Neurospora crassa OR74A: one gene and its partner. The protein of the gene in region 2 interacts with the protein of the main gene of each other region in a pairwise test. Links are inferred from orthologs where the notes say so. Each region holds a gene or a part of one and is shown on either strand. Other genes may lie near its edges.

Region 1 (5,323 bases), about 5.5 Mb from region 2:
TTTTCTAAAGTTGTATGACACAGCATTTAGATTCAGGATTTCGTGCACTAGTTCTAGCACCACAGATGCACAAGCAAATGAAAGAAAAAGAGGGACCCTAAGCCCGACAGTTCCGAGGAGAGACATTATGAAGCAAGACATGATGGTTCTCCAAGTAGGCAGAAGGGAGTGCAACTTGTTGAACAGTTAGTTGCAGGCTGTTGTGACTTTCCCGATATAAGTTAATATGTTCAATGGGCTTACAACAACATCTGGATATCCCTCGTGGCGCAATTGGCTAGCGCGTCAGACTGTTAATCTGGAGGCTGTAAGTTCGATCCTTACCGAGGGAGATCAACATTCTCTTTTTGAATTTTTGCACTTATCTCACCTTTTGTGTATTGTCTGTTCTCTGACGATTGATGAACCTTTTTCTTTCTGAAAGTTTATCTGGATAATGAATAATCATGGTGCTGTGTGAAGGGACTGGTTCTCGATATGTGGTTTTATTGAAAACCCCCATCTCGAGATGTTGATTTGTTCATCGAAGAACCCCATCACCAAGCGACAAAATGCCTTTTGCCATTACTTTTCTTGACGCCATTTGAAGAAACATAGCCGTGAACGACCAAAACCTTTTCAGGATGATCGTACCATGATAGCCCACCATCATCGAGACCCCCCGTCTTCAAGACTCGTTCCATCAACCTCACGATATTAGTTACCTCTCTAGTCCGAGTCTCTGGCCCGAGCGCCTGCACGGAACAACCCGCATCCAAACCTCCTTCTCTCACCACACCCTCACGGGAACATGCTTCCAACGAGTTCACGAGTCACGACAGTTTACTTGCATCCCAGGCTTCTCAGTCGCGGGAAACTGCATAGAACTTTTCGAAAATGCATTCCTAATGCCCGAGTCTCCGAACACTCCACATGTACATACATACATACAGCTGCGGACAGTTTAAGTTTCAGTTTCAGTGGCATGGGCTGGGCTTGACGAGAATGCAATCGCCCTTTTTCAAAACCGTTGAAAAGTAGGTAGGTAGCTTCCCGATGGCATACATACCTAGTGACGGCGGAGGCGGAGGCGGTGAAAGGAGGAGTGCCGAGGATCCATGGAACAACGGTAAAAGAAGCCACCACGTGAATGGGATGCGTTCCGGAGGTTGTACGATACATGCAAAGTATGGATGGGATGGGTATGGGCTGTTTGGACGTGATGGGGAAAGAGACCGGGGAGTCTCATCAGGTTGGATGGATATCCTACATTTATGGTCCAGTCAAGACGACCACGAGAGAGAGAGGGGACATGGCGAAATAGATCATTGTGAGAGGAGGGAAGCTATACTGAACTGCTTCATGGTGTTAGAGAACGACAGGCCAGGTAGGTCCGTAGTAGGTGGATGAGAGCATTCTTGATGCTCGCCGGGAGCAATGACTGGAGAAATCTGGTTTTATGTCAGAGTAGAACGGTTTTAAGGAATCTGTATTGTGAACCCGAAGTGTAGAAGAACACCATCCCAATATGTTGGCTTCGTGTATTCAGAATCTTCTCAAGTGTGCTGACCTTGTAAGAGTGATGCCAGAGTTTTGTGATGTTGCTGACTTGGCAATCATATTGCTCAATGCTTGTTTCCCAAAGAGCAAGTGATTATCGAGTGATCAGAACAAGAATATGGAACTCAAGGTTGACTCCATCACCAACCTAATTGTGATGAGACGGCAGAAATGGAAATGATTTTGGTTGCCGTTGCAGTGACGTTGAGGCGTGAAATGGAATGGAACCTAACAGCCCGTGAACCCCTGAACGACAGGCAGGGGAAAGCCAGCGCCCAGTGGACGAGCGGACAATCTTGACCCCACCTGCCCCACAAAATTTCGAGTTCAAGGTCTCCTCTTATCGATAAGCGCCGTTCTGGAATTTCTTTGCTCGACCATCACGACGACGATTTGCAGGTGAAGGAGACAGTCCCCAGTCCACATCACCACCTTGCGGTACCTATCCAATCCACCCACTACCGTCATCGCATAACCAGACCGCCAAAATGCTCCGCCAAGTGTACGTCAATCGATCATGACAATGGAACATACCGAACATTAGCTGACAGTTCTCTTCTCCGCACAGCAAGCCGCGGACAGCCCGTTCCAAGAGGGCGCTCGAGAAGCGTGCCCCCAAGGTCAATGAGAACCCCAAGACCGCCCTCTTCCTTCGCGGCACCACCTGCAGCCAAGTCGTATGTCACCTCCTCCATATCCTCTCCTCCTATATATGATGGTATCATCAAAATCTAATACAGTCCGCAGACCCAAGATGCCATGCAAGATCTCTACTCGCTGCGCCAAACCCACGCCAAGCGCTTCCACAAGAAGAACCCCGTCCACCCCTTCGAGGACGCCAGCTCCCTGACCTTCTTCTCTGAGAAGAACGACACCTCGCTCATCCTCTTCGGCTCCAGCAGCAAGAAGAGGCCCCACACCATCACCTTCTGCCGCACCTTCGACTACAAGATGCTCGACATGCTCGAGTTCTACCTCGACCCCGAGACCTTCCGCAGCATTGCCCAGTTCAAGACCAAGAAGGTGCCCGTAGGCACCAAGCCTTTGATGGTGTTCGCCGGTACTGCTTTGTATGTCCCCCGATTCTTGTGACAAAGAGGAAGGAGTAGTGAATGAACGTCAGCTAACCGAGTACCACAGCGAATCCCCCGTCCCCAACGCCTTCACCACCGCCAAATCCATGCTCATCGACTTCTTCCGCGGCGAGCCCTCAGACAAGATCGACGTTGAGGGTCTGCAGTACTGCGTTGTCGTTTCCGCCGACGAGCCCACTTCCTCCTCCACCGATCCCTCGGACCCCTCGACAAAACCCACCCTCCACCTGCGCGCCTACCTGATCCGCACCAAGCGTTCCGGCCAGAAGCTCCCCCGAGTCGAAGTCGAGGAGCACGGCCCCCGCATGGACTTCCGCCTCGGTCGCCTCCAGCAGCCCGACGCGGACATGCTCAAGGCTGCGATGCGCAAGCCCAAGACCAACGAGGAGCGCACCAAGAAGAACATCAGCATGGACAGCATCGGTGACAAGATTGGTAGGATCCATATGGGCAAGCTGGATCTCAGCGAGTTGCAGACGAGAAAGATGAAGGGTCTCAAGAGGAGCAGGGATGTGGTGGATGAGGACTTTGATGATGCGGATATGCCGATGGAGGGCGTCAAGGAGGTCAGTGACAGGATCGTGGGGCCGAGGAAGAAGAAGGCGAGGGATGTCGTTGAGTTTTGAGTTGAGCAAGAGTAGGGAGACGGGAGAATGAGGGGTTGAGGGGATGAAGAAGAAGGCAGGCAGGGAGGAGGTTTAATCTTTTTTCTCTCACAATTGTTGCGATCATCCACCAAGACACAAGGCGTTTTTGGGAGTTTTTAGTTTTATTACTTTACTTTATCTTATATCATTGGCTGCTGCTGCTCTTGGGGAAGATGAACATTCATGCCAGATCAGATCATCAACAGAAAAGAAGAGATGACCAAAGCTGGAGTTATTGATGGATGATGGGTTGTTCGTGAAGTTGCCTTGCCAAAGCTTGTAGACCTAGACATCTATCTAGCATATACGTGATATTTATACCAACCAACATATGGGACCATAGGATCAACCGATCGACCGGCCGAATTTGCCGCTACAGCTTTGTTTGGAAGAATCTAGTATTGTCAGCACTCGCTGCCTACTATCACATGGCACTCATGCTATTTCCCTCTTCTACCTGGATACCTTGCTACCTTGCTACCTTGCTACCTTGCTACCTTGCAACTATCTATAATCATAGAAAAAAGACAATGCCATAATCATGTACAACCATAGGAAAACCTATGAACTATTCCCTGTTTCGATCTTTGGTTTGGAAACGTCTATAAGGGGTGTCGGTGAGGCAGTCTGCAGACTGATTTAGTACAAAATTATGAAACCAAATATCCATGCCGAGAACGATTGATTAGTGTATATGTTGACTGACTACAAGGTTATGAATGAAATGCCTGTACCAGAAATTGTGTTTGTTAGAGCAGAGTTGTATCAATCAATGATGGCTTCCTTATGCTTGTCTATAAAGAGACTAAAGCCAGTCCCACCAAAGAGTTAAGACTCGAGATTATGTGCTATAGACAAGTTCAGTATTGCTAAAAATTCTCGAGACACTTGGAGCCACCTGCAGAGAGTTGATGATTATAAAAAGCAGGGAAACGGCATGGTGTCTTCCTATACCATCCTGAGCTGAGATATGTAGGTATTGTATCATATTTGCTACAGTCGATAAGTACCAAAATCCCTACCCACTACAGTAGTAAATAAGGTTTCACATCTGACTGACTGTTCAAATAAAAAGGGCATCCGAAGCTTCAAAAAAATCTCTTTCTCCAATCAATCATCTCTTCTCCACAAGGGTATCATCCAACATCCACCTTCCAGCTTCCGAAGTCTCCCCGCCATCTCAACCCCAGGCTAAATCACCCCCCTTCTTCAGATCCCCAGTTCTATGTCTTCTTGTTTCCTTTATATAGTATAGTGAAGAATTTCCCTCAACGCCTCTGCTATGGTTTAGTATGAAAAAAAAAAAAAAAAAGACAATGATGTTGTAATGTTCTTTCCAATCTTTGGCGCCCCAGCCTGGCGCGTGTCTATGTCAAAGTTATATATGTTTGACGCTCTTCTTTCGACTCGGTGATGCCTTGTCAGCGGTGCTGAAATGGCTGACATCGGGGGATTCTCCAACGAGGAGGGGGGGGGAGCCACGTATCTGCTCCCCTCCTCGGTTAGGTTCGGTTCCGCCGGTTTGATAGGCGCGGCACTTGACGTCTGCGTCCGACAACGCCCGCCGCCCCGGTGCGTGACACCACTAGATATCAACCAGTGTCCCACTTCGATCGTATTCGTATTCCCGGAAGCCTACTTAAAAGGGACCACCTCCTAGGCGTGTGTTCCTCTTGTTCTCGGGGTTTTGCCTCCTCGCTTTGGTTTTCATACCGTCCGTCACCTTTGGTTGTGTCACGTTCTTGTTAATGGCTGTTTACTCAGGGAACTTCAGGAATGCTTCTCGTCGAGTTCCCCGTCTGGCACAGCAACTCAATATGCCGGTAATAGCTATGTTCACTCTGATCCTTCAGCGCCTGTTCCTCCGCGTACCAATCTGCCCCCCACACCTCAGGGGGTATCGTCGAGCTGCCGTCCGGCGTTTCGTACAGCGCAATCCGCATCGCCCATTCCAGGTGCGGCCACCATTTGCTGTAGGCCTCTGGGCCAAAGTAGTCGCTGTTGAAGAGAGACACCACGCCCAAAACTTCTCGGCGAGCCATG
Region 2 (5,791 bases):
CCGATGACCGCTAATGTTCTCCGCTTTCCCCACCGCATACCCCTTGTCACATGTCCCTGCGTGGTTGGCCAGCCAGCTGATGTGTAAACAATCTGAATAGGTACGTATCCATGAGGTATGTACGCTACGTAGCAGTAAATGTAGTAGCATTCTATCACGAGCAAGCATCAGAAACATCATGGCTACTCCAGTCATTGTAGCAAATACTGGAATCATTGCCTTCTTGAGCAAGGAGGCGAACAAACATCTTTGGTAGGGCATGTAGGCGAATGTCCTGCGGTTGCGAGCAAAAGTTTTACCTCCCTGTCAGGTATCTGACACCAACCACCAAAGCCAAAGCTTCGTGGGCACTGTGTGTACAACGTCAATCCACGGGTTGGACTTACCCATCTCACCATAGTCAACAGGGGAAGGATCTTTAGCCAACCAGGTTACGAGAGCTACAGGCTAACTAGCTTTTCGCCCACAAATCGAAACGCTTTGCCCAACTGCACTAATCGTCGGCCATGCCATCCTCACCAGCCAGCATCTCAGCGTAATCATCGGCCGAGGCAAATGTTGGCAGACCCCTCATCTCCTTCCTGCTAAGTCTGCCCTTCTTCTTTGCCGTCGAAGCATCCTCCTCGCCAGCGCTCTCATCCACCACCGCTTCCTCTTCCGAGTCATCCGAATCATCAAAAATGCCTTCAAAGGGCACATCACTGTCAGATCCCTCGAAGTCCTCGCGAGGGCCATCCATATCAAAGCCGACAGTGTCCATCTCCTCGTCTGAGTCGTCATATCCATCCATTCCGAGGTCGGATTCGTCTTCATCCAGCTCACCCTCAACCTCGGGTCGAGAATTGACCAATGCTTCCCAGATCTCGTCTTCGCCTTCTTCCTCTTGTTCTTCGCCGTCCAGACCACTGTTCTCCTTGGATGCTTTCTTGCTCTTTGCCATGTCTCCAGGCTTGCCGATGCGAGCAAAATACTCATGGAAGAAAACATCTTCGGCGGAAACCTGACCTGGTTTGAGATTCCAAAATGAGGCCGAGTTGACGGAAGGCTGCTTCTTGGCGCCATCTTTGCTGGACACGACAGTTTGGGAGGCGCCACCAGTAGCGAGGACCGGCTGCATGATTGAGCTTCCGCGCTTGGTCTCGGTAATCTTGGGGTTGCGGTAGACAAACTTGTCCAGGAAATGCATGAGGCTGTGGTTGGCCAAATCCGGCTTCGGCAGGCCCTTTTGACGGACGAGAAGGTTACTGGCATAAACGTGTACGGATGGATGGAAATGAGATAGAAGAGGAGCCTGGTGGTTTTGAGGTTAGTAAACTGGTTTCACATGCAATCAGAGTTCAAATAGGCACTTACCAATTCCCACAAGCAGCTTCTGTGCGCATTGCTATGCTCGGGATTTCTCTTTCGTCCATCATATCCTGTGGCACGACGGGAAGTTGGTGCGTCTTCACGCAAGAGACTGCGCTGCAGAGCCGCATCATCATTGACATCCTTGTAAGCCTCCACGCCATCATCTTCATTCTCCTCGGGAACAGTAAGCAACGAATGAAGGTCAGGAAACATGTTCTCCAGCTCGGAAATCAGATATAGCACCCCGCATGCGAAGGACGGCTGATGCAGGTTAAGCACCTGAACCAATCTCTTGACAAAAGCCTTCACTCTCCGCACGTCGGCATCATTCTTCAGGGCTCGAAAAAGTAGATTCATGTACAATGCTTGCTTCGATGACGTGATGAGTCTGGGATCCAATAATGATTCGTACAATGTCCGATAAAATCGGTCAACAGCGAGATGTTTGGTCACGGCGAGCTGTTGAATGAGCATGAGTGCTTGCACGCTGGTGTTGAAGTTCGACGAGTGCGTGATGCGAAACAAGGTATCGAGATGTTTTTCCATGGTCTCATCGTCGGCGGTAGTGAAGGGTACCGCACGATTGACACCAGTAAGCAGTGCGGATACGAGTTTTTGTGTCGTATCCTGCTCGTTGGCAGAAGCCTCGGTGTGATTTCGCTTGCCCTTCTTAGCTTTCCTGTTGCTGCCGCCAGATTTGTCCTCGGAATTTAGCGCTTCCAGGTTTCCCAATGAGCCAGTTTTGAGGAGGGAAAGGAAAGCCTCGAAGTAGATTCGGAGTAGCGTGTTGGCTATAGCGGGCTCTTTGGTGCTCAAGATGGTTTGATTCAGGGTGATGATGGCGTAGTATTTGGTGCGCAGACCTTGGCCTGGCTTGAGCAAAACCTCTTGCTCTACCGTGCTGATGACAATGCTTTTCATCGCAGGGTGAATGTTGAGCAACTGCAAGAGGAGGTATGACGCCCGAGATGCAATTTTCCGTTCGCGATCACCGAGTTTGTTAACAAGAAGTCGCAACAAATTGGCCTCTTGTTCCGGCTTGTCCCGGAGCAATGTGAAAACAAATTCCAGCGCGCGCATTCTCGAATGCTCAATCTGATCAGTCGACCAGATTTCGAGGAGCTGGACAATGCGAAAATACGCTGCTTTGAGCCAATCCTCGTATGCCCACATCATCAGGTAAGAATCAGTTAGCTTGGCTGGGAGCTTCTGGCCCTGAACCCAATGCAGCACAGCTTGATCTTGTAAAGCGGCCAGCAAGGCGGGTTGCATGTTGAACGGACGAAGCCGGCGATTACTTGGCAGAACTGTGCCATTGCCCAGCAGATCCACTAGAGCGCCCAGGGCAGCGAGTGCCTGACTACGGCTTTTCTTGCCGGCCAACCCGATCAGGGTTTCAAAGGCTTTCTGGTTGTGGAGAGGAGACTCTTGTATCGACAAGGTTAAGGCAGATACCTTGTCGGATAAGGTGCCGGAAGACATAATGGTCGACATGAACTTCTGAGTGGAGCTGGAGGCCTGGAGGGCGTTGTATCTTGCCGCGTCCTCCTTCAAGAGAGCGTCCGCGTAAGCTTTGAGGTTGGCAATCGCTGAAGAATATTGCCTAACGTCGGCAGATGGTGTGAAGGCAGGTAGGCCCTCGAGGTCGAGAGCATGCCAGTCAGGTCTGGGCTCAAAACCCTACTCAAGTTAGCATACCGCCAGGTAAGTCTGCGGCAGCGAGAGCGTCGAACTAACCAGCTTGTTCTTGCCTTTCTTCCCGCGCAGGGTGTCTTGGGCGGTCGTAGTTGTGCTCTCACTTTTTACTGTGGCAGAAATGGCTAGAGGCTGTTCCTGATCCTGGCTGTCATCCTGTTTTGTTTGTTCCGCGTCGTCGTCCTCTTCTTCGTCGTCTTCTTCGTCTTGTTCCTCGTCGACGGGGTTTTCAGACGACACGCTTTCAAGGTCATCCTCGCGGGGTATGTTCTGGAAGCCCAGGCTCAAGGCGAACTTTGTCAGTTCCTCATGAAATGACTTATCCAGGGATTTTTCGGGCGCCGACGCAGATTTCATGCCAGGTCCCTCTTCATTGTCGGAATCAACATTGGCGACAAGCTCAAGATCATCCTCGTCTCCGCCCAAGGCCAAAATTTCCTCCAGCAGAACCTCCTTTGTTGCATTGTGGGACTGGTCTTTGCTGGAACGGTCCTCTTGTCCTTCTTCAGTGCCCAGTAGAGATTTCTGGCGCCTCTTTGCATCTCGATCATCAGCTGTGGTGTTCGGTCTCTTGCGATTTGGTGACGCGTGTTGGTCAGTGCCGACGCCAGCGAGAGTTTGGTCGATCTTTTCGGTCAGTTGAGCAAGTGCTGCTGCTTCGTCGAAAGCCGGCCCCATGCCTTTCCTCTTTCTTTGCCTCGGTGACTTGGATGAGCCCATATCTCCTAAATCCGTCGTTGCCGAAATCAATGGACAGCGGGCCGGCACAATGTGTCTCGAGGTTGGCTGTTGGTGATGCAAAATAAACCATCTACGAGGAAGGGTTGGAAAAAAAAATGCTTGGATCATGCACCTAGCGGACCCTCGTGCGTCTTGCAGGAAGAGTGGAGCAAGTGGAGGTACAGATGTACACAGTACACTGACAAATCTCTATGTACTATGCAGTACTCTCCAAACCTCGGCTGGTTCATCATTGGCGCGGTACTTCGATTGACACTTTTTCTTATCAAGTTTCATTCGGTGGAGTTTGGCGATGCAAGCCTGAAATAGTGCTAAAAGTGTTAAGTCCTACGCTGGGTAATATTTGGAGAAAGTCTAATCGTACAGTTAATATTGTCTATCCGTACGGTGGTCTACTTTTGCTTTATTAAGTATAACTTAGTAAAACGGAGACTAATGAAACTGAAAGTGGCACCAAACTATTCGTTCATTTTTGAGGAATTTTTTAAGGTAGGTACCAAATCTATATCCCTAAGCATCATGGAAAAACTACCCCTTAAGCCTTTTTCATCTAAAATCTTATTAATTATTTATTTATAATAGCTATCTTCTTTGAGAGTTTCCTAGGGCTACTAGGTAGGTCTGGTCACTCCAAAAAGAGTGTTAGATAGAGTAAAAGATCAGAAAAAATATAATGCATTTTGGTAAGTTAATACTAAACTCTATTAAGTTAGAAAAAGAATATGAAAGTCTATTTTTCATTACCGTACGGATAGATAATATTGACCGTACAATTAAACTTTTTCAATATTTGATTTAGAATTGAATTGTACAATCTAACTTTAGTGTGTTTGTAGGTTTAGTACTAAAAAAAAGCCAATTTCTACTCTAGAGCCAGCTACCAAATGTCGAGGGTAGGAAAAACGTTTGAACCTCATTCAGACAGGTACTAAAAGGGGACTACTCTCTCATATCTTCCAGTCTTGGAGGTCCTAAATGAGACAAAGAGGGGTATAAGAAGGCTTCCATAGCATTTTCCACCCTGGCTATTATTATATAACGCTTCCAACAGAGGCCCTTTTCTCTCTTTAAAGGCTAATAGAAGCTTTAAACAATTTCTCCTATTCAACGTATAGCTAAAGAACCAAACTAACAAACAAACTAGTATTAACTTGTAGAAGGACCTACAACTAGGAGTTTAGTGCCCGTGGGGTATATATTGGATTTACTAATGAATCCCACTCACCGGACACTTCTATTTATAGTAATGTGCCTCGTAAATGCTAGACCTAATAAATGCAAATACTTAACAAATACTAGGAATTTCACTATATGTATTATTTTAGTATAGTATACCTACTAGCTGCTAAGTGCTAGCCGTTAGCCGGCTCGCTATATAAATTTACAATTGCCAGGGACCCCTCGAGGGAGCTAATAAGGGGTGTCAAATGTACCTAATACCCCTTATTAGAGCTGTTAGGGGTACTAGAAACCCTCCAAATAGTATAGCTAGCTGCCCAATTTCTAAAGGATTCTCCTTATTCTTTCCCCCCTTTACTCTTTTACCCTCATACTAGTACATCCCTTCATTTTACCCTTTCTATTTATAAACAACTATCAACCTTATACATTTTATTAGCAATTAAATTACTCTACGCAACAATACTGACTATAATTACCTAATATTATAATACCCTTACTTAGGAGTAGCGTTTTAAATTTTAAATAGGCAAACAACTAGCCTTACCGCTTAAGTCTTACTCAATTGACTTAATAAATTCAAAGAAAGTAAAATGTATTACTACCAAACTATATTATATTTTACTATTTTAATAAGAATAAAAACCCTACCTATCTCGTAAATATTGATTCCTCCTTATAATATTTCAAGAAAATTCACCCAAAGAATAGTAATTGGCTAGTTTTTAGAATAATATTCTTTCGTGTGCAATTAGAGCTCGAAATTCGTAGTCTAAGTACTATAGTTGAACTTTTATAAGAGAAAGCAAAGCAGATATAGCTCCAA

The links.
Region 1: the proteins of NCU09894 (region 2) and NCU08595 interact in binary tests that used the Saccharomyces cerevisiae proteins (3 or more experiments, as listed by UniProt). The link is inferred for Neurospora crassa OR74A from reciprocal best matches to the Saccharomyces cerevisiae genes MAK21 and RPF2.

The regions. Positions count from the first base shown.
Region 1 is NC_026501.1:9,516,765-9,522,087, reverse strand, and holds NCU08595 (ribosome biogenesis protein), read left to right. Parts: upstream 1-1,925; 5' UTR 1,926-2,027; coding exon 2,028-2,041; intron 2,042-2,107; coding exon 2,108-2,216; intron 2,217-2,286; coding exon 2,287-2,609; intron 2,610-2,679; coding exon 2,680-3,259; 3' UTR 3,260-3,622; downstream 3,623-5,323. Other genes in the region: NCU08594 (hypothetical protein), read right to left, coding at 5,041-5,323. UniProt on the Saccharomyces cerevisiae protein: Required for biogenesis of the 60S ribosomal subunit.
Region 2 is NC_026501.1:3,984,995-3,990,785, reverse strand, and holds NCU09894 (CCAAT-box-binding transcription factor), read right to left. Parts: upstream 3,900-5,791; 5' UTR 3,895-3,899; coding exon 3,088-3,894; intron 3,031-3,087; coding exon 1,354-3,030; intron 1,292-1,353; coding exon 494-1,291; 3' UTR 158-493; downstream 1-157.